4 linked regions of the Lepisosteus oculatus genome follow. The protein of the gene in region 3 purifies or fractionates together with the protein of the main gene of each other region. This does not show direct contact. Links are inferred from orthologs where the notes say so. Each region holds a gene or a part of one and is shown on either strand. Other genes may lie near its edges. The genes, in order: gemin2, ago2, ddx20 and gemin5.

Region 1 (6,975 bases), on a different chromosome or scaffold from region 3:
ATCAAATACTCCAGAACAGTAGTAACTAATACCTTGAAGAGAAAGCAAAACTAATTTATATTACCACTGCAATAATGTATTTCTTGTCTTTCTCAGATATTAACCTTCTCCACCTTGGTGCCTAAATCAAATACAAGCAAATGCAGGCTGATCTGTACTAGCAAAATGAAACGTCTTACTTGGCTAAATCTGCTGACGATGCTGAGCAGAGGAGGGAACCCCACCTGAAAGAAAGACAGCAGAAGAGTCACACATGTTCTCAATGGGTCCACATGTGTAACAGCTGAGGTCAGGAAAATCTCATTACTCATCTCCAAAGCCAGGGCTTTCCTGGATCAGAGTAAAAAGGAACATGGGGAACAATATTCCCCTCACTAGCCGCCTGTGTATAGCTTTCAATACAGCGGTGCTTTGTTTGCAGCAGAGGGATGCGAACAGGTCAATAATCACCTTGACGTAATCAATACTGGGGCTGTCGCTCTCGATGGGGTCCTGTGTGCGTGGCCTTTCAAAGTACACATTCTCGCCCAAGCAGAACTTCTTCCACCCTTCTTCATCGCCTGCTTTGGGCTAGTGAGTATAAATGAAGAAATAACTGAACACTATTGACCCAATTCTCCCCCCCCTCCAAGTTACAAATCAAGTGTCTCAGTGGTATGTTCTCACCATGATCACATTGTCATCCAGGGATTGCTCCTTCCAGTGCTGCCGATGTTTGTTTACCCTCTGAAAGCAAAAAATATAGATATTATACGCCTGGGGTGTGCAACTCTAGCCCTGGTGGGCAGCAGTGTATAAGTTTTCATTACATCTCTGCTCTTCTAGACTTAATTGAGCTGACTAGTTGTTTTACTGAACCAATTAAATACGTGTTGAAAGAGAACAAGAAACCTCATGTGTTCTGGCTCTGAGGACTGGAGTTGTGACCTATATTATAAAGCTGGACACCTTTTTAGCATTATGTATATGCTTCGCAGAAGCTCTTATCCAGGAGCCCTTCCAGTTGCATATGATCAATGCAATAGGTAGATCAATACAATAAAATCCTAATAAAGCAAGGACACAAATCACAAACTTAGAATAAATCAGCATAAAGATGACGACAGGAAGAAACAGATACACGCAGCAGCCTAGCAGTGGGGAAATAATGCAAATCTAGTCAAGAGAAATGCAAATAAGTCCCTATACAAGGCAGGAAAGTGTTGTGCGAAAATAATTCAACTAGAACGAATAAGGGGAACTGCAGGCACGGCTTTACTACAGTTATCTGGACATAGAGACTGAAAACAATGCATTACAGCAGTTCTTGTAAAAGGATAATATTATCTGCAGCTGTGGGAGGAGACTTTTATACAGCAGGCGCTGGCACTTTTACGCCAGCAGCCATATTCAATTCAATATTATATAGGGCCTTTCACAACGAGGTTGACCCAAAAAGACACTTAAAAAAGCTGTGGGACAATACATTACATGTCATGTTACATGTCACAGAAAGAGAAAAGGCCAGAAGACAACAGAGGAGAGGAACCAAAAACTCCTCAGTAAAGAGAAGAAAAACCTCTAGGGGTCCAAGGTCAACTGGCTGCCCAACCCCTCTGGGTATGCTAACATTATACAATTCACCATTATATAACTCACCACTGGCAGCCTACTGAAGCTCAGCAGGTGTGAGCCTGGCCAGTGCCTGTATACTTTAAGTACAATAACTTTACAATAAATATTTTTTACCTGTCTGACATCTGAAAAACTGCCAACTTGCTGTTGCTGCCATCTGAGACTTGGGGCAAGTCCTTCAGGGGCAGGCTGGCATCCAGAAAGCTGGCAGACAGTGAAGTCAGTCCAATGTTAGATACACAATCACAGACACCCAGATACACACACAAGTGGTCGTCAGTGTTACTGTAAGGCTTTGTCGAGATTTTGTGTCAGCAAGCCCTGTGAAGCACTGTGCTACACAATGGTAATCCAAGAAAAATGAATTCTCACAGTACTAAATGGAAGTAACATCCACGAGTTGGGAACACTTATGTTTAAGCAAGGTGAAATAATGTATTGACATGTTCAGTTTTTTAATCCATTAATGATTTTAAGAGGAACCCCTTAGAAGCAGAAGAAGTTAGAAGAACTGCAGGGCAGTAAGGATGTATTTTGTAATAATGGTTTTCCACGCAATACAAACACAGCATACTCCAGCACAGCGGAATATAAACAACAACGGAACAAGTAAAGGTGTATTCCATGCTGAAAAGAGAAGAAAAGAAACACAACGTTTCGGCGATGAGGCCTTCTTCAGGTGTGTCACCTTACTTGAAGTAGCTTGACGCATCTACAGTACCTACTTGAACTATAAATGACACCTTACCGAAATATTCACAGTCTGTTTCTTTTTCAGCTTATTTGGGTCAATTTGGGCAACAACGACATCAGGACACATCGCAGCCTCCAGCCTGAAAAGAAAATTCCGTTCACAGAATTGTTCCATACTTACAGATCCAATAGAATCCTGTTTAAACTGCACTTTTTAATACAGATGCACACAGCGTCATTCTCTGCGATAGAACTGTTTAGATTTACCTTTCCGATTAATTTATTATTTTCATCACAGAGATGAATAAGCTTTTTTTAACAAAAAACATAAAACGAACTTACTGAACCTGTCGCAGATACTCCTGGGGGTTTGTTGGAGGTACGTTGGGATCAATGTCTTCAGTATCGTATTCTGACACAGGCAGGAGCCTGGGCATGAGTTCCTCTACATCGGACTTCATAGTGGCTGTGCTCAGTTTGAAATAGATCCCCACTACTAACCTCTGGGCTAAGATCCCAGCTGTGGATTTATCTCGAAACGGGGTACATATTAAATCTCTGATTTTTTTTTTTAGATTAATGCTTTGTAGTCACTCAACGCTTTAAAATACAAATTATGATCGTTCATGCGCTACTCTTATTCTCCCTTGGTCGCCGCCATGTTGTTTTGTGACGCACAAATTACGCGACGTCTGCCATGGTTACCGCTTGTTGCCAGAAATGCACAAACAGTACAGATGAAGTGAAGCAGTATAGAAAATATGAATAGGTCGACTAAATTGAAACTACACGTTGTATTTGCGTGTTAGCTGTTATCGTGTTAGCAGTTAAACGTTCACCTCGAAAATAATATAAACATTAACAATTTTCCCGTTTCAGAACGCAGATCGCTATGTTACAACGCAACGTGCGAAACTTGTCGCCATTGATGTCGTTTATTCTACCCCTGATTCCCCTAAATGTATTTTAATGTCATTAGCTGAATCCACTGTTATAGTCTTTTGAGAGTCCATGCTATCTGGGCTTTGCCCTCAAGCCGTTCAATTGCAGTTAATGATTTACTCTCAAACAGACCTGACTCCGCATTTTAAACAGGCGCTGTTTTCGCAGGATTATATCTTGAATTTCAAACTTTTATGCCTTTTTTCTGTTTCATTAGAAGACGACTTTCTCTAACCCATATTATGGCGCTGTGGAAATAACTTATTTAAGTAGATTCTACTGTTTAACATGGGTTTTTTCTTCTAATTGAAAACATGGTGCGGGGGATTAGTGAACTGCTTTTTCTGCCAGCTCTTTTGTTTTTACTCAACACTAGGCAAAGTCTGGGGTTACTGTCCGACTACAAAACATGTGGAGATCTTGAGTGTGAAAGTAAGCATCAATGTTTATTACAATATGGGGTCTAACTAGAGAAATAAGTTTTCCAGGTAACTACACCTCCAGAAAGTAATAATTAATGAGCAAGGTTTTTTAATAGCACTCGTGTTTGGAGTAGGTTTCTATTTGCTTTTAAAAATGTCATTATTTCAGTGCATCTACTAGCATATGTAGACTGTTTCGACAAATGTACAGTATGGTAACCATTATCACCCAGTTGTTTTATCTTTATTCAAGAGTATGGATATTTTTTTAAATACATCTCGATCTGCGTAGCAATATATTTTTTTCGAGTTCAGAGTTAACCAATTTTAGACTTGGTACTCGGTGACTAAGCAAACTATAGGTCAAAGGTCGATAACATTCATTTCGCATATTAAGGTAAACGTTACAAGCTTAATATATATATATGTTTATTTTCCATTTTAAAGTCTATAAATACTTTTCAACGAGTGGATATAGCACTTCTGAGCCATTGCTTCCTGATTGCCAAAGCAAAATACGCAATTTTAAAAATGAATGGTGTTTTAATTGCTCTTACTACAAACTAGTACCTGCTTGTTTTTTCCGTTTTGCAAGAATATGACCTTTTGTGTTTTTTTGTATCGTTTTAGGCTCAATAAATCGAGTCCGGGCCATACGAAACTATAAGAACCCCGACTGCAGATTTTTGAATTTCAGAAGCGGTGACGTAATATTCGTATATCACAAACTTTCAGGAAAAAGAGACGACCTGTGGGCAGGAACTGTATGTATTTAAACTGAAATCAGATATTTAACTGAAAAACCGCCATAAGGAGCGACAACTGCTTATAAAACACACATAGTTCTTTGATTTTTATTGCTGCTTTAGAGGAACATTACACGTTTTTGTTCAATTGTTTCCCTATGCATGTTTCAATGCAAAGTACGATGATTCACTGAGCTAACATGATATTAAACATTTAAATCCAATTATTAAAACAAAATAAGACCCTGGGCTCATCTCATATTAATGCCCATAGTTAAAAATTATACTACTTGAATATATGTATATTATTGTAATGCTATACGATTTGAAATGTAAAGTCTAGTATAATAAAAGTAATGAAATTCTGGTTGCTTTCCTTTAGATCGGCAAGCGGTTTGGTTATTTCCCAAAAGATGCAGTTGAGGTTGAAGAGACTTATGCAACAAAAGAAGTGCAGGTTCCAACAAAGGTAGTGAGTTTTGCATGGTTCTCTTGTACTAGTTGGCTAAAAAAACGAAGAAAGTTTAAGAAAATCAAATTCTATCCTTGAAGTCCAAATACTTTATCTTCATAATTTAAACTTAAATAAGTACAGTTATAAGTTCACAATAACTTTGATAACCTTTGACGATTTCATGTTCTGCCAGACTTTTTCCGCATGAATTTCTGATGAAATCATCTCGTAACACTCTTGTCATCATAAATGTAATCTGATTAAAATAGGAACTAGAATAATTAGTGACCTCCTTCCCCTGTTTAATTGTTTTTTAAAAGGGGGAAAAGAGGATTCTAATGATTTTTGGGCACGATGGGATTTGGTTCTCTCAGCACAATGTTCTCATGGAAGAATTATTTTTTCCTTTCAGGAACATGACTTCTTCTGTCTAGACGGAAACGGTGCTTTCATAGAAAGTGACTCCAGTCACTGGGACAGTGAAGAACATCAGGAAGAAACAGCAAGAGATGAAACAGAAAGTCCAGAAGCAAGTGGCTCTGGAAGAGGCTCTGTAACAGAATTTAAGAATAGCGAAGGTATTGCCAAAGGGCAAGAGAATGGCCCGGCAGTACCGCACACCACTGACAGAAGCGAGGAGCCCAAGACTGTTGAACGAGGTGGGTCACATTGGCTTGGATCTGGAATTACTGGATGGCTGGGCATCGGAGGCCAAGAGGATGATGTTTCCCAGGAAGAGAAAGAGGAACAATACTCCTTTAGGAGTAGGAAGATTGCATTGGATCTGAAGGACAATGATTTAGATGGTAATAAGCTGGAAACAGTGGCAGAAGCGAAAAAATCTGGTTGGCTTGGGGGACAACTATCAAACATATTTGGTCTTAGTCAAGAAACTCCGTCTGAAGTCGTGGGTCCGGATGCCCCTGAAAAACAAGGAGTAAAAGTCACACTGCAGGACAGGGGTCAAAGTCCAGCAACGAGTAATAAAAGGGTGATAGCTGAGACAGAGACTACAAAGGAAGAGGATGCACAGTCCAAGTCTTGGCTTAGCTTTGGTGTCGGGGATCTGTTGAGCTATGGTCAGAAGAACAGTGACAAGGAAGGTGAGGGAAGGGGAGAAAATACTGAGGGTGAAAGTAAAATGTTAGAAACTGCTGTAGATGCGAAAACACCAAGGCAGGATTTTAGTCAATCACAGGTTCATACTGTACAGGATCAAGAAGCAAAAGATCCTGGTGGAACAACAACAACAACAATAACAGCTCTCCAGCGAAACAGTGAGCAAAGCTCCCAGATGTCTGAATTAAAAGCTGAGATGAAAGAATCAAATGCTGTTCCAGAAGTAGTGATAACTAAAGATGAAGAGCACAAGAAAGAGGAAAATACAGGTTGGTATGGCAGTGTCTATGATAATATTGTAGGATTTTATAAGGCAAGACGTAAAGCCGTTGATGATGATAGTTCATTTCAGGGTTCTCAAGAAACGGGCAGTCAAGAATATACTTTAGGCAAAGAAGTTAAAGAAATTCAGGGTGAAGAGTCTCAATCTATGTATTCCATAGGCAACATTAAAGATTATGATCCCAGCAAGCATATCCTAGGAGAAGAAAGTTTAGCCAAATTTTCAGATGAAGACAAAGAGCATGTACTGTCTAAGGAGGAGCCCATCATATCTGGTGCTATAAACATAAGTGGTTTGAATCAAAACAGTCAAGAAGAAAAAAATAGGCTTAAAGAAGAGGAACCACCTGCAGTTCAACTGGATGTAGAAAGTGTCATGGAACATGACGTGATCAGTTCCTATTCAGAAGTTAATTTAAAATCATTAGATTTGTCAGTGGATAATAATGCCTCAAAATCTGAAAGTCTAATAGAATCTGAAGATCATACCATAAAATCTGATGGAACTGGAATAAACATTGCTGGAAAAAGTACTTTACTATCAGAAAATCAGATTGAGAAATCAGGCATTGTGCAAGATATCACTGAAAATGTAAGTGATCTTCAGGGTGACAGTGAGGCAAAAGTAAGGATAGAAGAAACCAGTGCCAGTGAGAATACTGAAAACATGCTGAATTCTAGGTTTGAAAGCCCATTAGAAACA
Region 2 (7,599 bases), on a different chromosome or scaffold from region 3:
GTGGGGGCTGCACACTGGCGGTGGTGGAGGGGAGTCCCCATTACCGTAAAGCACTCTGAGTGGAGTGTCTAGAAAAGAGCTATATAAGTGTAACTGACCAAATCACATCCATATATGATTAGTAAAATATTATTGCACAAATTTACAAACTGATTATTTGAGGGTCAGGAATCAGACATACAGGATGTTAATTCTGCTGGAACAGAGCTGACAGGCCAATTTTGTACTGATCTCATCTTTTTCATCCAATCTATCACAAACAAATAGTAACAGCCGAGACAGGTTTCTCATGTCTGTAGATCAAGTGAAAAGGCAGACACTCAATTTTCCAAGAAAGTGTGCCTCCGTATCTTCCACTATCTCACAAACCTTTTTTAGAAACAGTGCCGTCCGATCCAGGATCTGACCTTTTTCCACGTGCCCACTGCCAGAAAGTCTCGAAAAAATCCCCCGAATAATAATCAAAAACTCTCCAAGTGTGTTTCCCTACCATTTGCAATCCAGAATATCTGATATAAGGCTTATAAACATTTTCACTTACTTAAATGCTACAAGTGAACTCGCCATCGAAAAGTTGAGTCACTGTTGAAAATATCAAATTAGTATTACAACCAACCTTTGTTTCCAAGGGTCTGCTTTTAAAACAAAATACAGCTTTAAACACTCCTTATACATTTCATCTGAACAATAAACTTATTTCTGAGTTTATAATACATCGTGAGTTTACAATATATAAGTTGTGGAAATCCAAATACGAATCACTATGCTCACAGACCTTCTGAGGTTTTGATCATAATGTGTTACTGCTGTTCTAGGCTGTAAAAGGGAGCAAAGCTGTACTTGTAGCTACAAAATAAGAGTGCAATGGATTGCTCTGAGCCAACTGGGCCTGGCTTTTGTGCAAGGCTTTCAGATCATACAAACTGGCCAGCAAATTCCAGGAACTTGTGCAGATACTTGACTAAGATACTCTTCTGTCAGTCAGGAACTGAGTGAACCTGAGGATAGCACATAACTCGCTCACGTCTGAATCTAGAAATCAGAGGAAACCAAGCAGCAGTTTTAAGAACGCTTAACTGAAGCATACTGAAATCCCGCCATCAGTTTAGGGTTTTTTTATCTACCCTAGACAGTTTTTTTAACATCATTCTGTACCAGGGGCGAGGCACAATCACCTTCTCATTTTGACACTCAAAATCACTCATAGCACTTACTACATATGAGCCATACCTAGTTTTCAAGAATATCAAAGCCAAATGGGAGATGTGATATCCACACCAAAATGCCATTAGAGCAGTCATCTTCTAATGAAATTTAGCCCATACTACTTTGTCATTCATATGTCTTAAAACAGAACAATTTCAATTACCACATGGATATTTGTGGTCATCACACTGAAAGACGTATGGCCTACTTCAAAAATAGCTTCATCTTTCTGCACCTACACTAGCCAAGTTATCCCTCCCTACCGTTGAGATGACAGGGACATCCCCTTTCTCCCAGATAAAGCCCCCTTCAGTCAAAGGGAAAGGGAAAATGAGGATGATTAAGGTAAACTGAAGATGCATTACTGGAATCTGCGTTCTTGATCACATATAAAGTCCCTTTGTAATACAGTACACAACGTAAAATGTCTTGTGTTGCAGTGTGTAATTACTTAAAAGGGCAAGGAGAGCCAGCGGGAAAAAAACCGATGCATTTCGGATACAAAAAAAGGAGTTTAGATTGTAGTTCTGGTCTAGTTCCAGTTTCAAAAACAGGTATGCTCTGATGCCAGGCAAACCGCAACCTGAACCGCTGTGGTTCACAGTGGAAATTAGACAGATAAACTACCATTAGCTGCGCACTTTTCACTTTAAAACCCTCAATAACAACATCACCGTAATGAACGACCCAGTTGTGTGGGAATGAAGTTAAACTCTTGCTGCCGTTAACAACACATAACACTCCACCACTGATATAAGATCTCAAGATCCACCCTACATATTCAAAAGCCACAATTGTGTCGTACAAATTCTGCATTTAATACGCGCTAGCTGACGAAAACATTGGTCTCAGAGCAGAAAAAGTCCACGATGCTGAAAGTACAGTATCGCAACCATTGTGCTGTCCAGTGTACAGAGACGTGCCTAGCAGCCTTATAGACCATATTTAGTCATTATTTTCACGTTGATAAACTCGTGAGCTTGTTCAGCGTGCGTTTCCGCAGGAGGAAGCGGGGTGCACCGGTTCCATGACTCCGAGCCGCCAGCGCCGGATGCCCCCGGGAGTTCAGCCCCGGTCCCCCCGCCTGCGCGCTCACGCCAGCTCGGGGCTTGGCGCTCAGGCCTACCGCCAACCCCGCCAGCGCGACCAGAAACCGCCGTGAGGCGCAGCTGGTGCGCCAACTCGCACGACCGCGGCGCCACTCCGGCTCACCTCGCAAGGGGCTCGTCCGAAATCGTACCACGATAACCCCCCCCTCCCCGACCTACTCTCCTCACGTTATCGGTGTCTTGGGCCTCTATCCCTCCCTTCTGCTCCCAACTCTTTCCTCCAGACTCGCTCTCCGCGTCAAGACTCGTTATCTCATTCCCCCCACGCCTGGCGATTTGCAAACACGAAGCGATTTTCAACTGGAAGCCCAACTTTCCTTACGGAACCACTAAAAGGCAAACTTAAACAAATAAACGCTCCCCCCCACCACCACCACCTCCTCCTCCGCTTTTTAAATTCCCCCATCAACACACATTCTGTAGTATTTTTTTTTTAAAAAAAGAAACTAGATGAAGTTACCGCCAGCTGCTCCTCCCGTGTACATCTTTCCGTCTCGTCCGGCTGCCGTTCACTTTCCACGTTTCAGATTTCCACCCCCCCCAAAGAAAAAATTATTCGCCGTGATTACGTTGAACAAGAGGGGCAGCCTCACTCGAGAGGATTAAAGTTGGGGGGTGAAGGGAATGAAACACAAACACGGATCCTCGCTAGTTGGGCTCCTCCGCTCCTCCCCCAGCAGCTCACCGCAGGAGAGGAGAAGGGGCCGTGACGTCACCCAGGGGGGCCGGCGCGGTGAAAGCCATGTGCTCGCCCGGGGCCCTCTGGGCGGACGCCGCCGCTGCGCGGTGTTCATAGGCTTGAAGCGATGGGCTTTTTCAGTTACCGCACCGGGAAACAACAACAACAACAACAAAAAACTGGCAAAAACGTACCTGCCTGTACAGTTTGTTTGTTTTTTAATGTGGTTCATTTACAGGCTTCGAAGGAACAAAAACTTGGCTCAGTCACAAAATACAGCCCGCTTTGACGATGATTTGTAAACCGGATACCAACCAGTTTTTTTTTTATTATTTTACTATATTTACTTTGCAGGCGCCCTAATCTAGTATGGGACAATATAAAAAATATTTCCATTTAAGTGTCGGTACCAGGAACAGTCGCGTGTAACATAAAGTAAATAAGGGCTTGAGTGTCTTTGATCTGTGATGACTTCTTTTAACATGTTACTTTTTTTTTCGTCGTAAAGTATAAACAGAGGATGGGGCTACTCTAAAATCTGAAACATAATTGCGGCGTGGTTAGCCGTTATAAAAACGGCCATTCAGAAAACACGCATCAAGACTGTCCTGTTTGCATACCAGACGCGATGTCCCGCCTCGCTCCCCTCCCTGTTAACTGCAAGCGGGAGTCCTCTGTACTTGGAGAGGGAACTTTTTCAAGCGACGCTCACGTCCTCTGCCAACCTCTGCAAGCGTGTCTTTCTGCCTGTTATCCTGTTCATCTCCCCCAGAGCCCAAGTTTAGGAAGAAAAGAACGCGTTGTTTCGACTTTAAACAGCGTTGATCATTTCCCACGTGTAATTATGAATCTGTAACTAGAACTCAAAATGCAACCGCCAAATATTATTTTATGGATTCTAGACGGTGCAGTAGGGTTGTCTGGAAAAGCAGCGTGAATTCAACTGACATGATAATTGTACTTTTCTCGGGCTCTATGCTTCCGATTAGACCCATAAAACCCGTCTGTGGCTGTAATTGACCACATGATGACGCCCATTTATTTCTGTGAAAGAAGGCAGAGTTTCGGCTTCAGCAGCATGGACGGGTAGTTTGCTCTACACTCTCACAATGTAGATTGTTTCAATAATGTAATGTTGTTTAAGTAAATGCCTCCTGTTTTCAGATTCAAATGAACTACCACATAGTATCCACTTGTGAAGTTGGCTTGACTTTGAGGTTTTGAATACTTGGATCGCTCCCTCCTGTCTTTAGTGCTCTTTGCTCAGACCTAAAAAGGTTCATGTCCTAAAACCTGTTGGTGCCAAACATTCCTTTAAGGCCCAGAATGTATCTAGTTGCTCCTCTGCAGACTGACTGGAGAGAGGTAATATTTTTCAATAGCATGCCAAACCCTATATTGGTTTTTGATTATGTTTTTTCTTTCCGAAAGTAAGATATTTGAATGGAAATTACAATTACTTAATTTCTAAAAAAAATTAGGAAATTCCCCAATTTCCCTTTGGGATAGTGTTATCTTATCTTATCTTCCTGACCAGCCCAATGATTACAAATGCAGTGAATGTTTTTTCTTTGGGATCAAATCAAAACTGTTTCTGCGGTAACCAAACTCTTTATGTGATATAACACTGTGATGGCTTTTGCAGAAGCTTTTCTATTTTAATATGTAAAATTTAATTACACTGCAAGAACAATAATAAAACTAAAAAATGGTCAGTTCCTTTGCTTTTATTTTAAATCCTTTTGCAAACACAAGCATTGAAAATGAAAGTACTTTGAAACTGCTTATAGTCTGAAATGTACCGTCTAAACTTGTCAAAACAAAAGACTACAGCATTTTCATTAAATTAATGAATCATAAATTACAAATAAGTCCTTCCAATAAAACGCTAGCTTGATCACAATTTGTTTAATACTATCTAACTGAAAAATGTTAAGAATATTGTTATATTAATGTTTTATGAACTTGGAAACATATCTTCTTAATAATGTTTATCAGAATCCAGTTTCTTGATTGCAGTAGTTGTCCTAACAATACTATATTCTCCATTACACATATTTTGTGTTTTCACAACAGAAATAATTTTCTTTAAAAAATGCAAGGGCCTCTTTGCTGACTAATTCAAGTATGTAGTTGTGTTACCATGGTAGCCTGCAAAGGAACAAGTTAAGGTTTATTTCATGCTGAAAAAAGCATACCCAAAGAAGGCTCCCCAGCTGAAACATTGTGTTCCTCTTCTTGTCTTTTCAACATGGAACAAACCTTTACCGTTTTGCTGACTTTAAATTTCGGTAACAAAAGTCTGTCCCATGTTTGTAAAACTAAAGACTTGTGTGCTTGCTAATTTCTACTCTAGGTTTATACCATCTGGTCTAACCAGAATTCCCCCTTAATTCAGCTAAGCATTTTCTTACTACCTCTGCTGTGTCTGGGAATCTCTGCGTACGACCGAGATGGGAGCTGTATTTATTGGTTGGTGAAGTGGATCGTCTCCTATGTTTAAGATATTTAAGATCTATTGTATTGAAAAGCACTATAATTAACGAATTAAGTAAGGAATTATTATTGTTATATTTTTGCTTTGCATTAGTGTGTGCCTGATTTGTGTGATAATGTCAGAGGATGTGCTCAGCAGTCTTATAATAAGGACCAAATGTTAGGACTGATGCATTGCTTTTTTCAAATCTAGTAACAGGGTTACGTACAGTAACGCATGGCCCTACAATATTCAGTAATTTCCAGAATGCAGCTGCATGCAGATATTCTACACATGAATCTGACTCAAGAGCCAGTCATATCATTGTTTCAGCCCCACATGGGAACAGTAAATTCTAGGGAAAAAAAGCAGTGTGAAGCCAGTCTTGCACAAATATGATACATGACTCATATCTGTTTTTACTCTAGATCATATTCTACTTGGCTTTTCTCAGTTAGTGTGAGCCAGCCCATCTTGGGAGGTCACTCATTTTCTACACATCAGACAGACTGCAAACACGACACTTTTCCATAAATTTAGGATGATGCAGATATTTCCATTGCTATTTTATAAACATGTTGTTTGTTTAATAACATTAAAATAACAATGATTCTAAATAGAAGGAAATATATGTTGTTTCTACATTATTTTTTTTGCCTCTGGAAAAGATACCAGAATCCTCCACTCTCAACAAAAATAAGTTTACAAGGTATAATCATATCTTAATTATATTTGCAACGTGAGAGTATGTTTTTAACATAGATAAGAACATGAAAAACAATTATTGATTGCAAAATAAATATCTAATACTTAATGGTTCACTGTTAAATCAAACCATTGTAATAGGTAAATGGTTTCTTTCTAAAATGTTAATGCAATATGTCATACCATGTTGTTAATATGCTATTGCACCTATTTCATAACTCTTACAATTGAACTATGGATAACAGCTGAACTGTTCTTTCTGATTATTCTTACTAAACCATAGAAAAGTACTCCATATGTTTCCCAAATCTCTGTTTAATAATTATTATGATGTTTAAATATATGATATACAGTATGTACATCTCACAGCTCAAGTACCTTAGAACTTTTATATCTGTCAACACAAAATCTTCACTAAATCTTGGAATGTGACATTTAGTTTTACTCTCGGTTTCACTAAGTTAAAAGAGTAGTTTGAAAGGTCACCAAATTAGTGTAAAGGTTTCTGTCTGCGTGTGATCAAAGTGTTTTAACTCGGCTTTATAGTAAAGCCATGTGTTTCTGTAAGTTCCCTCAGACCGATCTTGATTTAAACCACACAGCAACATTACAAATCAACCACAAGAGTAATGAGCTCTATCAGCTCTATGAAGCAGGGATAAAGTGGAGGGGAGTGCATACTCCCCTCCAAATGGATCAGGATACATTTGCTCATCCCTTTGAGTAATAATAACTTACACTTATGTAGCGCTTTTCTGGACACTCCACTCAAAGCACTTTACAGATTATGGGGACTCCCCTCCACCACCACGTGTGCAGCCCCACCTGGATGATGCAATGTGCACCAGTACACTCTCCACACATCAGCTCTCAGTGGGGAGGAGAGCAGAGTGATGAAGCCAATTCATAGATGGAGGTCATGATTGGTAAGGGCCAATGGTAAATTTGGCCAGGACGCCGGGGCTACACCCCTACTCTTTTCGAGAAACACCCTGGGATTTTTAATGACCACAGAGAGTCAGGACCTCGGTTTTATGTCTCATGCGAAGGACAGTGCCTGTTTACAGTATAGTGTCCCTGTCACTATACTGGGGCATTAGGACCCACACAGACCGCAGGGTGAGCGCCCCCTGCTGGCCCCACTAACAACTCTTCCAACAGCAACCTTAGTTTTTCCCAGGAGGTCTCCTATCCAGGTACTGACCAGGCTCACACCTGCTTAGCTTCAGTGGGGCTGCCAGTTGTGAGTTGCAGGAAGTACCAGGAAGCTGATTATGAAGAAGGGAAAATGGGCATCATAACAAACCAGACATTAACTAGATCAACCTGCCCTTCCACACGGAGTACATGGGGTAAACAGAAAATTGATTAGCAAGGGCACTTTGAAGCCAAGCCAAAAGTACCTGAACGATTTGCAAAGTTCT
Region 3 (7,991 bases):
TAAACAAGAAGACTACAACAATAAATAAGAAAATTTCACAAGACAGGACACAATTATAATTACAACAATACAACAATAACAATAGAGGAGACCGTGGAAGATGGTATTAAGAAGAGCAGAGGGGTGAAGAATGGAAGCAGTTAAGTAAAGGCTTTTCTGAAAAGGAGGGTTTTGAGTCTGGATTTGAAGGAGTTTAGAGAAGGTGACTCTCTAATATCCTTGGGCAAGGAGTTCCAGAGCTTGGGGGCATAGCAGGAGAAGGCCCTGTCGCCCATACAATGTAGACGGGCTTGGGGGACAGTAAGGAGGGCAGAATTTGAAGAGCGGAGGTTGCGAGGTGGGGAGTAGGGCGATAAAAGTTCAGACAGGTATTGAGGTGCCAAGCCATGTAAAGCCTTGTAGGTGAGCATGAGGATTTTAAAGTCTACGCGGAATTTGACCGGAAGCCAGTGCAAGGACTCCAGGATAGGAGTAATGTGAACACTTGCACTAGATCTGGTCAGGATTCTGGCTGCTGAATTTTGGACATACTGCAGCTTGTTCAGAGTAGATTTAGATACCCCAGGGAGCAGAGCATTGCAGTAGTCAATTCGAGAGAATACAAATATGTTGATCAGCTTTTCAGCCACAGTTAATGATAGCATAGGGCGTAGTCTTGCGATATTTCTAAGGTGAAAAAAAGATTTTTTGACAGTATGCTGTACATGTGGGTCGAATGTTAAGCCAGAATCGAATATAACCCCAAGGTTTTTCAATTTTGATTGGAGCTCAAGTACAGAGCCATCTACAGACAGGGTTACAGGACTGGCTTTACGAAGTTGATGGGGGGTACCAATAAGCATGACTTCAGTCTTGTCACAGTTAAGATGAAGGAAGTTTTGAGTCATCCAAATGTTTATGTCAGAGATGCAATTAGATAGAATAGAGACAGCCACATCAGTGTCGGGTTTGGTATGGATGTATATTTGAGTATCGTCAGCGTAAAAATGAAAGCTGAGGCCATGTGATCTTAAAAGCTGACCAAGTGGGAACATGTAAATGCTGAAGAGCAAGGGGCCCAGTATTGAGCCCTGAGGGACACCAGACTTGACAAGACCAATTTCAGACCTGTACCCATTGAGAGACCTTTATTAGGTATTTGGTGATGAGTGAATAAAGTGCACATTCTCACATGGAGTTTATTGATGTGTGCTATTTTAAGGGCTTGTGTGTTTTTTTCTTTGTCTTTTAAAACACCCAAAGTGATTTTTTTGTGTGTGCAAATCCCTAGAACGTTCCTAGCAAAAAGTTGCATTGTCATTTAGACTGCTACTGCAGGTTTTGCAAATCACAGCCTAACCCATCAAAAATGGGTTTATTAATATGATAAAAGAGTTCTAATGTTTAATGTTAACAATCATTTAGAACTCACTGGGAAAGCATACTATATCTTAGCACCATAGCCACAAAGGTTGAACATTTCTTCCACTATCTAATGCTGTTATACGGCTAAATATCTCAAATTCAAATTGTATTCTCTCTAGAGTGACAAGGATAAAAAAGAAAACAAATTCCAGAAAACACACAATGACTATTTGACATCAGAAAGTAGCTGAAAAATCAAACACATTTTTGAACTCGTCTCCTTTCCCGTTATCTGACCCAAATCCATGTAAATGAATGCTTGTCTCAATTGAATATTCAAGAGCGTTGCTTGTTTGGATATCCCAGGTGCATGCAGCCGTGGATGGGGCAGAGATTCCGAAACCGGGCCCAAAAGCAGAGGCTGGAAATGCATTAATTAAACATCCGATGAGCAGCAAAGCAATCTGTTTGGGGAGAGCAGCGCACAGTGTGAGAGATGTCTGATGTTGCCGTCCTGTGTCTTGTGCCACTGTTCAAACCAGAGCAGAGGCAGGAAATTATCCAAATGCAAAGGATAATGTACTCTAAGGCTTAACAAGGAGTGCGCAACACAGAACCGCTCATTTAGGTAGGAACTTTCTGATCAAAGCTTGGTGATGTTTGATGTGGAACAAAGGTCCAATTTTGCAGACAAAGGAGGGTTGAATATGGTATCTCAGCTGGAATTTCATATAAAGGTTTTGCATTATGATTTTAGTGACAATACATTTGTACTTCTTAGTACGACACAGAAAAAAGAGCCTGGAAAAGCAAAAAAAAGCTTATGAAATAAGAAATAGGAAAGGGAGGATACTTATTCTTCTTGCTTTCTTTCCAAGAAAACCATTGAATTATAGTTACCATTGAAGGTGTTATTTTTTACGATGGAATTTTAACAAATATTCAGTTCAGATTCCGTGCACTTTACTGAAACATTTACCCTTTGTTACACTGTTACAAACTAAGTGTGAATTCTTTATTCTTATCTGAAATTATTTGGCATGCTAAGCTGTCATTTCACAGAATAATTTTCTGAAACTTCCACGAAGGCCTATTGCACAGGAAAAGTGTGGCAGGGGAAGCAGATTAGTGTTGCTTTGAAATACTGAACATAGCAAATGTTTCATTTTCTTAATCCCCAACTTTTTGCGTTCTCCTGCCAGGTTCAAACGAGGGCCAAAGATGAAGAGAAGATAATTGTTTCACATCTAGTGTCCTAAAGTTGAGAAGCAAGTCATTCTCTCCAAAAACTCCAAGAAATGAAATTTGTGTTACACATTGTTCTGAAATCCATTGGTTCACCACTTAATACAGCAGCCTATACAACACCACCACCCTTCCTTCCTGCTTAATTTCCCCAGTATTGGCCCCATGAATGGCAACACAGTGCTGCAGTGGTTAGCATTGCTGCCTAACAGCATTGGAGCCCTGGATTTAATTCAGGTTCTGGGGTGTTATCTGCATGCATGAGTCTGGAGGTTTGCCCTGTGTTTGTGTGGGTTTCCTCCAGGTGCTCCAATTTCCTCCCACAGTCAAAAAACATACTGTTTCATGAATTGGCTTCTGGGAAACTAGGCCATGGTGTACATGTGTTGGTGTGTGCCCTGTGAAGGACTGGTTTCCCTTACAGAGTGTAAGCTGCCTTGCCCCTGATGCTTGCTGAGATAGCCTCCATCTGGCCAGCGACTCCGTATTTTATAATAGAGTTAGAAATTGGATGGCTGGAAAAAACAGGGAGCTGTGTCTGCCTGCTTTCCTTCTCTCCGTTGGCTGTCAGTGTAGCTTCCTAACTGTTCAAAATGACTGCAAACGAGGCCTTAGATCTGTGGACACTTGTGTGAACGAATGCCAGCTGCATGTCTTAGAATAGTGTGGACGAGAAGAGAGACATGAGTATCATTGCTCTGGTGTACACAGATCTAATTTACTTCTGGTCAGCCCTACATTCCTCTACCGCTTTTAAAAACACAAGACTGCAAATTGGGAGGCGAGTGAGAGGGAAAGAACTCACCCTTTCAGTTTTTCTCCATTATTCTTTGTCGTGCGTAGGTAATTACTTTTAATTATAGCTGGCAGCTTCCATTCACAATACAGAGAGTAATGATGAACATGCTTGTACTTTGTTAATTCAGGGGTTTGGTGATGCTTGTTTCAATGATAAAGCTTGCACACTCATCAGCTCTTGTAATTTTCCATCATTTAGGTTTGAGGGGATGTTTCGGGTAAGGGGAGTCATGTCTGTCTGATCTCATCCTCCTGATCCACCCATTAAAATTTGCACCAGACTTTGGTCAGATACTGTACATATCTTCACACTTACAGGCTTTGTATGGGAAAGCCATTCCATTCATATCCAAATCAAGGGTTACTCTGGATGTTTGTGTTTGTGTGTTAAGGAGGAGTGAACAGAGACAAGACTACATCCTTCCTGTTACATATCTTGTCACAGATGGGAACAGTCTTGCATGATGTGTGTCAGCTATTTTGTGCCCCACTGCCTAGTAACCTGCAGTCCAGTTTGATCCCTTGATTACTCTCATTGGCTTAATCAAGTACAAGATTTGGACCTCAAGTTCACTGTATATTTCTGACTTTGTACAGATTATGCAGCAGCAGCATTTAACTTGCAATTCATACGTTATGAGGTCCTTCACTCATACAGGATTAAAGTCTTATTTTGATCTGAGTTACTGATCTGCCACCATGCATGCTATAGTAAGAGATGTATCAGGCACTCTAGAACATGAAAGAGTGCCTGGGTGCCCCCTAGAAACCACAAAAACACAACAGCAGCTTAGTGATTCTTTAACCAATGCAATAAATCAGTGGGAAGTGGGTTCAAGTCTAATGTTTCTTGTTTAAAACATAGGATTTCAGTACCTTAGCAGCTGTATAGTGGTGGAGTGTGGTTGACCTTTGATCTGGTGATGGTAAGTAAATTAGGGATTTGTCAGTCTAACTGCATGCACTACTTGAGATGTTTTCACTGTTTAACATTACAAAATATTGGCTGTATTTGCAATTCACTGAGATGGACTTTTAATTGAAATGACAAATTTTCATTTAAATTACTAAATGTAACTTAGCTTTATACTCTTTTTATAACTTTTATTACTACTGCTACTATATGTTGACCTTTTTGGATTTGCTGGTAGTCTTAAAGTTTGGTAGCTAATGACAGATCAGGCTTGTATTCGTCATCCTCACGATCGTCTATATTTTTGTCAGAAATGTCAGAAATTCGAATACCAATGAAAGTTTATTAACAGCATGTGTACTTTAGACGTTCAAATACTGCCCCGTAGCGGCTAAATTGCAAATTTCCTTAAGGTGTAAAACAGGCGATGAAAAAGAAAACCATTCAAGCAACGCACCAGGTTTTTGGAAGTCAAAGCTAAAGAGTCAGTGTTCTTGGCGGGTAACATTATCTTTCCCAAGGATTTAGAGTTGATTGAAAGCAGTCTACGATGTGTTTCAGAATTGCGTTGTCCTGTCCAAGGTGCTGATAGTACTCAAGTGAAACTGAGCGTGTGAGCAGCATAGAGCCTAAAGTAACGAATAAAGTTTCATCGTTCAATAAGCGGAAAGAACGCGATATTTGGGTTCAAAATGGCAGCATCTATGAAGAAGGCTGCACATGATATTCAAACCAGGAGGCGGACTGAAGATGTCTTGCTCGCAGAGGGTATTGATTTCAGCTCGTTGTTGCTGTCCCAGCCTGTCCTCGATGGACTGGCTGCCGCGGGTTTCCAGAAACCCTCCCCGATCCAGCTGAAAGCCATCCCGCTCGGTCGCTGTGGGCTCGGTAGGATCGCTATTCTTACGAACGTTTTGGGTTGGATTTAAATGTGAACTGCGATTTGCACTTTGCAGCCTAAAGATAAAATCTCTTTAATTAAAGTGGTGCTTCCTGTAGTGTAATAGACACTCTGTTATCTTCGTTAACATTAAGATAAGCAATTTCTGGAAATAATTAATCATATTCGTAAACGATTATAGCACACTGCGGTGTGTACCCATTACAAGATACAAGATAGATTAAAAAATCAGGTGTGAATTAAATGTGCAGTATTGTTGGTAATGAAAATAATGTTTATTACAGATGCCATGAATAAACAATTCCGTTTACCTCGGAAGCTACATTTCTCTATATTTGGGAAAGTGGGAGGCGTGGCTGGCAAGTCTGCTCTCATAATTGAGACATGTGCTCTCGGTACGGCTAACGCCATATAAACCAGTGTAATATAAAAACAAACCAAAAAAAACCTGTAATCTCTGAACCGATGGACGACCGTGACTTAAATATGGAACCACACCTACTGTGATGGGAAAAGCCTCTATTTATCTGTAATGTTAATTTTGTCTTTGATATAATGCTGTGCTGCTTCAGTTTTCTTCTCCTGTCAAACATAAACGTGCCCCAAACCTTTCGTATTAGCCACGGTATGAATTATACAACAACGTGCATCCAATTGTAGGAGCTTTGATTTCAGACATCTTCATAATGTCTCTTATCCAAAATCAGTTGGCTTTGGCTTGCAGTTACGAGATCTTTTTATTTTTCAGTGGTGTGTGAATAATTTATATGCCCATTTTAAATGACCCTTTTACATGGTCTTTACAAAGAGGTTAGTAGCTCTCAACTGCACAAGATAAAAGAAGTATAATGGTACTTTTGCAATTATGACAAACACATTTTTTTATTGTGCTATAACTACCACTACGCAGTGGATGTCAACTCTCTCTGAAATCCAGACCATGTCGAATTCTGCTGAAGTGGGGTTCTCTGCTGGCTAGATTGTAGTGCTGTGGCCCTGGGCCTGGGCAGGGGTAGAGTAGAGCTTCACTTGTCACTGGTGTTGTGTAGAATTCTCCTGTGGTGGAGTTGTCTGCTGTCTAGGCAGTGGTGCTGTGTGGACACATGCCTCCGGCTGTCTGGAATCAAATCCCAGCTGGCTCAGGGAGCACTGTACTTGTCACACCTGTCCTACCCCAGCGATGCTCTGCCAGTTGTGTATCAGTGCCTGAGGAATCCTGATGGTGTTTATCATGTCCGGGTCATAGGGCTTAACGTGCTCTCTCAGTGATCACCTGTACTGGTTAGATCAGTTGGGAAACCCAAAGTATTATCACAAGTGTCATTTATAAAGACTTTTAGTGAGCATATGATATTATTGGGTTATCCGAAATGGTAGATGCAGGAAGAAGACATAATAGAAAATATTATTTAGGGAGGTAAAATGCTTCCAGCTTTTTCATAAAAAATCCGGAAGCCTGGTATCTCTTTTCTTGTTCTTTCAGCGCAGAATAAACCTTTACCTTTTCCTTTGCAGCCTACGCATGCTGACACGGCTACCTACTCGTTTTTTTTTCATATGCAGTAGAATTATGTTTCCAAAAGTATTTGTGGTGTGAGGCTCCCCCATGTGGTCTTAATTGGAATTTGTCTTTTTCCAGATCTTATTGTTCAGGCCAAATCTGGCACTGGGAAGACCTGTGTGTTCTCCACCATTGCCCTAGACTCTCTGATCCTGAAGAATGTGTCCACACAGGTGAGATCCTGGCATACAGCAGATACTTTAAAGGTTGCAAACCTGCAAACTGCTTTTGTGTGGCAAGCCTGTCCCTCATTAATGTGACTTAAGTTAAACAGTTATAGAACTCCTGGCAAGGGTCTGTCATTACTAGAGCAATATGTACAAATCTAAAATGGACATTTTCATGTCGCTCTCATGTCACAGCAGCCTGGCTGTCTCTGTCACCAGTACTATAAAAGTTTTTTAAATACAATGTTGACAAATAACAAGTGTGTGATTGTAGATTCACCGCGATAGTAAATTGCAAAGACTAAATTTCATTCTGGGTTAAACAGAATTGCACGAGCAGGGATTTTTATTATTTTTTGAGCCCCAAGGACTACAGGTTTGTTTTGCTCAGTCTGCCTCAGCGTCTCGCTCTTTTGGCAGGTGCTCGTTCTGGCCCCAACCCGTGAGATTGCGGTGCAGATCCACTCGGTCGTCACAACAGTCGGCGCTGCCATGGAAGGCCTGGAGTGCCACGTGTTCATCGGGGGCACCCCAGTCAGTCTGGACAAGAGCAGGCTGAAGAAGTGCCACATTGCTGTGGGCTCTCCAGGTCAGTAAGGAAAGTGTGGGCACTGCTTAGATTCTCAGGGTTGTAAGCCTCTGGTCAGAACACATTAACCACTGGCATTTCGTTTTCTGTTGATCCTCACCTCTCCTTACACCAGTGCTAAATAAACATCCATCGGAAAACTGCTTATCCTGTCAAGGATCACAGCACACCAGAATCAGTCTGACATGACTGCAGGATGTGCCAATGGGCTCCTCTTGTTTTTAAGCTTTCTGTCATTCTCCCTCTGAACCTGACACCAGTTTATTGCAAAACTATGGAGAAAGGGACATCATGGATTTCAGTCCTGGTCCCCTGGGGAAGCTCCAAATTCTGAGGACTCCCCCTGTCTGCAGCTGAGCCTTTAGTAACCAGTACTAATCATGGCCAGTAACTGATCTGCCCAGTGCTTATTCGCAGGGTAGTTTATTTTAATTTTCTACTTGAAGTAATTTTTTAAATTTGCTTTTAGCTCT
Region 4 (7,688 bases), on a different chromosome or scaffold from region 3:
ACAAAGTCCTCAAGGGTCAATAAACCAGTGAAGCTCAGTTCAAGACTTAAACAACCACAGTTTGAGAGAGTTCAGTACACTTAAAAAAAGCAAACCTTTTCCCTTCCTGGTGCTCCAAAGGCGGATTGTCTGGTCCTTGCTGCCCGATGCCAAGTAACAGCCTCTCTCGCTCTCATCTTCCACCTCCCCATTGGCCACCTCTGTCAAAGGAACAGAGGGGTCAGGGGAACTGCTCTGTGCGTTCGCCCAGCGGGTCTGAATGCTCTGATAGCTGGCAAACAATAAGTGATACCGGCTCTCTTACCCAGCGGAAAAAAGGCAGAAACTCAACATCGATTAAAATACGAAAAGAGACTGCTGGCTACAGCAGTCCAGAGCCCTGATGTTTTCAGATGAACAGCCTTGGAGTAGAGACCATTTGAATGGGACACACAATGCCAGGCGAGAAGCACAGAAGACGCAGATCTGTGTGAAAGTCTGGCTTTGTGCATCATGCGGGGTCTGAGGCAGACGCTCAGAAACAAGACTGGCATTCATACCAAAGAGCTGGACGATTCCAGCTCTTCATATTTTCCATCTTCTTCCTCTTCAGAAGCCCTGCACCTATCGTCCATGATGCCCACCTAGGTCACCTGGCGAGAGCTCTGTACCTGCGCTTTCCTCCGCCGGCCGGCTGTAGAGCGCTTCCTCGCCAGGCTGGGGGCACCAGGCCAGGCCGTGGATCTCGTCATCGTGGCCTCGCAGCCGGTGCACGACCTCGTTTTTCTTACTGATGTCAATGACAATCACCATCCCATCTTTGTACCTGTGGGAGAGGTCAGCGAGAGCTTCGCTAACAGCACCAAGGACCCGCCAGGCCAGACGGGCCCCTACCTTCACAAGGAAAGCAACATAACAAACCATCTATATCTCCTGTGTGTGGATATTTTTCCTTTTTCCGTAACTTCCGGCATCAAAATACAGCACCAAGAACTCAAGGTGTACACTGATTTTAAGACAAGAGCTTGAGATTTTTCTTTTTCAGTTAGATGAGAACCACTGGTAATGCAAAAAAAGCTTTTTCCAACAGGTCTATTGAGAAATGACATGTGGTATCACTGTGATTGTGAAATACGAATATGCAAATAGAGCCAATTCAGATTTGCGTCATGAACGTGACTAACGTAAGGCGCACTGCTTGAACAATTAAAGCAACAGTGATCATTTGGAGTGACAAAACAGGGAGAACTCTGGGTACCCCAAGTTTGGACAGTGAGCTGTCAGAGGTACCAGCCCCACCCCCCACCAGCTATGTACCGTAACACACTGGAAGAGATGAACAGTTTGTATATTACAAGACATTCAGAATGACTCGTCAGCTGCATGGAAAATGTCCACTCATTTGGCAAGTACTTACCCCACAGCGATGTGGTTCTCATTGTGAGGAGAACAGGACAAGCAGAAGATATTCCTGGGCTCAGGGAAGAAGCTGTGTGTGTCGTTCCTGTTGTGCCAGTAACACACCACAACCCCCTTCTCATCCCCGGAGACCACCAGGTCCTTTTCAATGGGAGACCAGTGCAGCGCTGTTATGGTGCTCTGGAAACAGAACAGCCAAAATACTGCAGCACAAGTGGAGCAGTCAGACAAACCCAAAAAAAGCAGAACCTGCCTGAAGCACCGCCTCACACTTGTGGTCTCTGTGATTCTCTTATGAAGGGGGTGTATTAAAATGGCAAATCTTACTAAAAACAGCAGTCATATCACTGTGCAACTCACACTTGGCCACCCACTGAGGTTAAGTAGGTGTGAGCCTGGCCAGTACCTGGATGGGAGACCTCCTGGGAAAAACTAAGGGTGCTGCTGGAAGAGGTGTTAGTGGGGCCAGCAGGGGGCGCTCACCCTACGGTCCATGTGGGTCCTAATGCCCCAGTATAGTGATGGGGACACTATACTGTAAACAGGCACCGTCCTTCGTATATGACGTAAAACCGAGATCCTGACTCTCTGTGGTCATTAAAAATCCCAGGGCGTTTCTCTAAAAGAGTAGGGGTGTGACCCCGGCGTCCTGGCCAAATTTCCCATTGGCCCTTAACCATCATGGCCTCCTAATAATCCCCTCTATGAATTCGTTACTCTGCTCTCCTCCCCACTGAGAGCTGGTGTGTGGGGAGCGGACTGGCGCATCATCCAGGTGGGGCTGCACACTGGTGGGAGTGGAGGGGATCCCCATGACCTGTAAAGCGCTTTGAGTGGAGTGTCCAGAAAAGCGCTGTATAAGTGAGGGCAATTATTATAATTATAAAAACACTCTGGAGTAATCACAGAAACAGCAAGGACTCATTTGAATAGAGCTTCCCGGGGGAGCCTACAGAGAGCTCTGCACTCACCTGGTGGGCTTTGTGTTCTTTCATCAGAGCTCTTTTCTGCGAGTCCCAGACTTTGACAGTCCCGTCATCTGAGCAGCTTGCGCAGAGGTCCTCTTGGCCAGGGTAGCGACAAAAAGTAAAACCCGAGACTCGCTCTCTGTGGCCAGTCAGCTCACCTGAGAGGAACAAGGCAGTTATTCGACACCTCAGGGCAGAGTACACAGCTGCAATAGGGAAGGATGTTAAGTCTTGTTAAGGATGTTAAGTACATAAACAGAATTGAAAAGTAAAGCTTTAAGGTACTGACAATATAATTAAGGTGTCACATACAGTACAGGAAAAAAAAACACACAGCCTTTTTAAGGGACTGTGAATGTGGGGAACAGCTCACCTAGGATGGCTGGCGATTGTGAACTGATCTGCAGCAAATATACTGAATTTTTAGCTCCAAACCCCAAAACTCCCTTGACATTCGTGTCACTGGACCGGGAGCAGTACCAGTTTGGAGACGCTGATAAAAGTCTCTCGGACATCCTAACTCGCTCAGCCAGTACTTAAAGAAGAGCTGAGAAAGTGTGGACCATCACGCAGCGAAACTGGAACAGACGCACGCTGGGGATCCGCTCATGCTGCTGTCTAAACAGAACGACAGCCGCACGACGAACACAACTGTCGCAAAAACACTACAGGAAGCGAACAGGGTTAAACTTCATTCACGTTCTTACGCGGCGCAGAAGTTTTATGTAAATCAACTATAATATTTAACTCTTGGCAGTATTTTCAGCGTTACTATTTTTAACTGAATTTGGCGCCGCTTTTTTAAGAGTTAATATTAATTTATATGAATCAACGTTATAACTCTTGCGGGTACGGTCAAGTGTCATAAACATCCATCCATTTTTTATGTTTGGCCTGGTGAGGGTCGCGGGGTCATCAATCTATATCATTTTGAATGAACACTGCGGGATTAACGATATTTAATATTAAACGTTTCTTGTTTTGCGGTATTATAACTTCAGCAATTCACTTTCTCCTTGCGATTTGTGTTTGGTTTTGCAGCAGCTTTCCACATCTCTTCCTGCCGTAAAGTGATTTATTCTGGAAGCATTATGGCGGCGTCCGCTATGCTGGGAATGGGTAAGATTATTCGTTTTTTTTGTATTTTGAAACGTGACTTTTGATTTATTAAAAAAAAAAAAACTTGTGATTTTTTTTCCACAACAGGTAGTTCATTCTTAAGAAGCATTGCTGGACGGGTGCAGACGAGGTATGTAAAGTTAATTACAATTTTAATAGTAGCATTGTGCTGTTATGTCTTGGGGAAGGACGCACCATAGCAATACACAATTCCCAGTAAAACTGAACAGCTTCCTGAAGTGTAAATCGGCAAGAGAAGAAACATGTAGACATGTGTTCTCCGCCGTGCTAAGCACAATAAAATCAAGATGTCGAGTCTTTCCGGTAGATGTCCTTTGTGAGTAATATAAATTCATGAGTTTGCAAAGGGGGTCGTTTTCGGACACCAACAATATTTTAATCTATGGCGGCACTTCGAAAGAATAAGGTAACTGCGTTGGGCCTGCAGAAATGGATCACCTCCTTGTCATTGGCAATTGGGATTTTTCTATAGTTTCGTGTCGCTTTACGATTATCCTTGTTTGTAGCCCACTCGTGAACTGCATGTTCCTGGCACAGACACTCGGCCGTGTAATAGTAGTGAGTAATGCGTGTCTTCTGTGCAGGTTGCTTGGGTCATGCAGCTTTGGACAGACTTCCGGCTTTCACTCGAGTGCGGCTCTGGAGGTCAAGAGCTGGGAGAGGAAGAATCGCATCGTGTATCCCCCGCAGCTCGCGGATGAGCCCCGCAGGCCCGCGGTGAGTTTGAGCTCTCCCGCGTGGTTGCAGGCGTGCTGTCACGCTTTTGCAGTCCTGGCAAAGATATGTTTCAGTGCATTGCTTCTCAGAGTGATCGAAAGCTCGTTTGTAGTGAATTTACGCCAGGGCACCAGTTCCAAGCTGAAAGCACGGCCAGCTTTCAGTGCTGCACGCCCTCTGTGCGCGGTGGTGAGCCGTGGGCTCAGCACACTGGGCCTCGGTGGGCCTCAGACAGTCAGGGAGTTCCCGGTGTTCTTTGCTTGAGATGCCGCTGGGGCCCCTGTGTTGTACCAAGTCCCACTGGACTTTTCCAGTGTTGTCACATGTTATTTAAGCCTTGGGGAGCTGTGGGTGGAAGGAAAAAGTAAAATAATTGACTGACTGGTGTGGTGTGGTGGCTCTGTGGCTCAGGATCTGTGCCTGTGGCTGGAAGGCCGGCAGAGGAATCCTACTCCGTTGGGCCCCTGAGCAAGGCCCTTAACCCCAGCTGCTCCAGGGTTGCTGTATAAATGGCGGACCCTGCGCTCTGACCCCCAGCCTCTCTCCCTGTCTGTGTGTCTCATGGAGAGCAGGTTGGGGTCTGAGAAAAGACAAATTCCTAATACAAGAAATTGTATATGGCCGATAAAGTGATCTGATCTGATCTTATCTTATCTTGTTGTACCACTTTGTACTTTTGGATTTACCGGTCTAATCTTAATTAATTAGACAATCAATTGAATGAATCTGTGTAATTAAACTGTAATCTGTACAATCTAATTAATGTAATCTGTGTAATTATATTTCTTTCTCTCTTTCTTTGCAGGAAGTACACCACTGTAGAAGACAAATAAAGTACAGCAAGGACAAGATGTGGTATCTGGCAAAACTGGTAAATTAGACTTTTGATTAATAGCCTTGTGTTCTCTAGGGAAGGTAATAATTTGTTTGCATGTATGTGATGCTGTTTATGCCATTGTGCTGTACTTCTAGGAGAGGACTCGTTTCCTCCATAACTGAAGTGGTGTGTGCCAGCTGCCCTGGTGCACAGTCAAGCAGGCTGATACATGAGGAACTATTTCACCAGGGTTGCCAGAGAGTTGCCTTGGATGAACGTTTCAGCCGCGTAATAAATGATAAAAAAATGTTTTATTTAATACTTACAGATTCGAGGAATGACAATAGATCAAGCCTTGGCCCAGCTGGAGTTCAATGACAAGAAGGGTGCTGCAATTATTAGAGAGGTGGGTGAGATAAGATGCTGATGTAGCGATCCTTAAATCTCAGGAAGGTTAAAATGTTTTGTTGATTGTGCTAGGTTTTCCTATGTAAATCTAAAAAGTCTGACTCTTTGATGTTTGTTGGTCTAAAGCTGTAGAGATTTAATTTTGTTTTCACAAAACATGTTTCAGAAACACCTGTATGTTTTTTTAGAGAATGTTTGTTCAATACTACTGTCTATCAGTGCCTTTTTTTCAGGGTTTGGATCCCCAAAGGTAATAATAATAATAATAATAATAATAATAATAATAAACTTTATTTTATATAGTGCCTTTAAAGGTGGCTTCTTAAAGCGCTTTAATAAGTTAGAACTAGTTATACTATAAACTAGTAATAAAGCTTAGCACTAAAAACATTATATCTGAAAGGCAGAGCATATTCGGATTAGTTTGTCTTGGCAGAAATCTGATCTCTCAGATTATAGCGAATGTGGGGAAAAGGGATGTTGATGTACTGTGTATATAATACGGAGAGCAGGATTCAGGATGTAACACTGTTTTGCAGGGGACAGCTTTAGTCCTGTAGTTCAGCCTTCACCAGCTCTCACCAGGGCTGTGTCATTAGCTGACATATTGCTTGGCTGTTCAGGCTTGGCTGCCTGTAGGTGTGCTGGATTGGCAGTGATGGGCATGTTGCTCCTGGACCAGCCTGACAGCAGCATGCTTGGAAGGGAGGCGTTCATGGGTCCAGTCACCTCTGTGCTCACACAAACATGGTAGCAGAGAGCCCAGTGGGCAATGTGGAACAGAGGAGGGTAAAAGAAAAATACCTGCCTTTTCTAAATTTTGAGGGGATGCTCTTTGAAGTGTTCATAAGTGGACTTGATTCACTCATTCTGTATGGGTCTTGCCTAGTTAATTAACCTGATGTTAATTATTTTAGGTTCTTTTAGAAGCCCAGGAAATGGCAGTGAGAAACCACAACGTAGAATACAAATCAAATTTGTATGTAGGTAAGTGTGTTCCCCACTGCTGTTGTGTCTGTTAATTCATTTTTATGTGCAGAGTCATGCTAGTGGGTTCCTGTCTCACATTTTTGTGAGTTCACTTCATAGACAAGAGACGAGAAACTAGAGACAGTATAGTCCTCAGGAAAATCAAACAACACATGCACTGCAGAATGATTTGAGAAATGAAGGCAAGCCAAAAAATGTGATTTAAAAAGACTAAATCAAAACCAGATTAACAGACTTATTTTCTTCATGAGTTTATCTGCAGGAAAAAAAAAAGTCTTCCTGATTACTGAGCCCATCTGCCTGAGAAAAGCTCATTAGTTGCTTGCTGTGTTCTCTGTACTGCTTGGTGAATCAGCTGCTGCTTTTCTATGGGAAATGCTGCCCTGGCATGAGAACAATAAGGCCCTATACCAGACCTACTAGAGCTGCTCTTATTTTGGGGACAGAGAGAAACTGCTGATCCAGCTTCATTGTCATAGCTAGATAAGTAATATACTCATCTCTGCTCGCGCTGCATTTGTTCCGATTCCAGGTGATGCCTTTTCTGTAAGACACAGTCTTTTCTTTCTCTGTGCTTTATAGTTATCCTTCTTCGCAAATGCCCTAAAAATACATTAGTTTGAGCTATGGAAAAAAGTCATCAAATATGATTTCAGTGTTATGCATAAATTTAATCATGTTCCACTGGAATATTAATTCTTCCTATGGATCTGTCTTTTCTTTTACTGCTCCTGCATTGGTTCTGCTTGTGCTCCAATGTGTTTTACCAGCAGGTGTGGCGGTTCACCTTCGGAATTTGTCACCTGGAAAGAGTTGACTTGCTATGAGTAGCAATACCGAATATTTTGTTTTGCCTTTTTAACTGATTTCACTTGACTTTGAATAGGAAACAGTATTCTGGTGAGCCTCTGCTCTAAAATATTTGTGTATTATATTTCATTAAATATTCATGTGAAATGAAGGTGGTAATCAGGGTGAGTTAAGAGAACAGAGAGGGAATGCATACTTGCACTACAGTAAAATACATGTCTTGTTTTTTTAGAAATTTGAATAAATAAGGTTGACTCTAGTAGTTATTTTAGATGACACTTGACAAACAGAATGTGTTGATATAAGTGGGAACTAGATAAAAGCCAGATGGCCAAGAAACAGTGTGGAGGCTGAGACACTGGGCACTTTCCACACTTGCACGGTAATAGAACCTGTCATTGTACAGGAATGTAGGCAGCTCTTCCTGGCTGAATGGCCCG

The links.
Region 1: the proteins of ddx20 (region 3) and gemin2 purify together in Homo sapiens (affinity purification with mass spectrometry; 6 studies listed by BioGRID and IntAct, counting the BioPlex papers as one, with this or other methods). This does not show direct contact. The link is inferred for Lepisosteus oculatus from reciprocal best matches to the Homo sapiens genes DDX20 and GEMIN2.
Region 2: the proteins of ddx20 (region 3) and ago2 purify together in Homo sapiens (affinity purification with western blotting; 3 studies listed by BioGRID). This does not show direct contact. The link is inferred for Lepisosteus oculatus from reciprocal best matches to the Homo sapiens genes DDX20 and AGO2.
Region 4: the proteins of ddx20 (region 3) and gemin5 purify together in Homo sapiens (affinity purification with western blotting; 6 studies listed by BioGRID and IntAct, counting the BioPlex papers as one, with this or other methods). This does not show direct contact. The link is inferred for Lepisosteus oculatus from reciprocal best matches to the Homo sapiens genes DDX20 and GEMIN5.

Annotation. Positions count from the first base shown.
Region 1 is NC_090703.1:3,376,066-3,383,040, reverse strand, and holds the start of gemin2 (gem-associated protein 2), read right to left. Parts: upstream 3,001-6,975; 5' UTR 2,769-3,000; coding exon 2,650-2,768; intron 2,448-2,649; coding exon 2,363-2,447; intron 1,819-2,362; coding exon 1,729-1,818; intron 727-1,728; coding exon 667-726; intron 571-666; coding exon 451-570; intron 225-450; coding exon 180-224; intron 33-179; coding exon 1-32. Other genes in the region: mia2 (cTAGE family member 5), read left to right, coding at 3,564-3,681, 4,302-4,435, 4,800-4,886, 5,284-6,975. UniProt on the Homo sapiens protein: The SMN complex catalyzes the assembly of small nuclear ribonucleoproteins (snRNPs), the building blocks of the spliceosome, and thereby plays an important role in the splicing of cellular pre-mRNAs.
Region 2 is NC_090705.1:34,006,313-34,013,911, reverse strand, and holds the start of ago2 (protein argonaute-2), read right to left. Parts: upstream 3,006-7,599; 5' UTR 2,801-3,005; coding exon 2,776-2,800; intron 107-2,775; exon of another isoform or gene 1-106.
Region 3 is NC_090700.1:32,130,901-32,138,891, reverse strand, and holds the start of ddx20 (probable ATP-dependent RNA helicase DDX20), read left to right. Parts: upstream 1-4,979; 5' UTR 4,980-4,992; coding exon 4,993-5,188; intron 5,189-6,840; coding exon 6,841-6,935; intron 6,936-7,349; coding exon 7,350-7,518; intron 7,519-7,991.
Region 4 is NC_090706.1:40,639,812-40,647,499, reverse strand, and holds the start of gemin5 (gem-associated protein 5), read right to left. Parts: upstream 3,019-7,688; 5' UTR 2,882-3,018; coding exon 2,740-2,881; intron 2,525-2,739; coding exon 2,370-2,524; intron 1,579-2,369; coding exon 1,397-1,578; intron 806-1,396; coding exon 651-805; intron 201-650; coding exon 96-200; intron 1-95. Other genes in the region: mrpl22 (large ribosomal subunit protein uL22m), read left to right, coding at 3,458-3,485, 3,573-3,615, 4,091-4,223, 5,029-5,094, 5,369-5,446, 6,366-6,435. UniProt on the Homo sapiens protein: The SMN complex catalyzes the assembly of small nuclear ribonucleoproteins (snRNPs), the building blocks of the spliceosome, and thereby plays an important role in the splicing of cellular pre-mRNAs.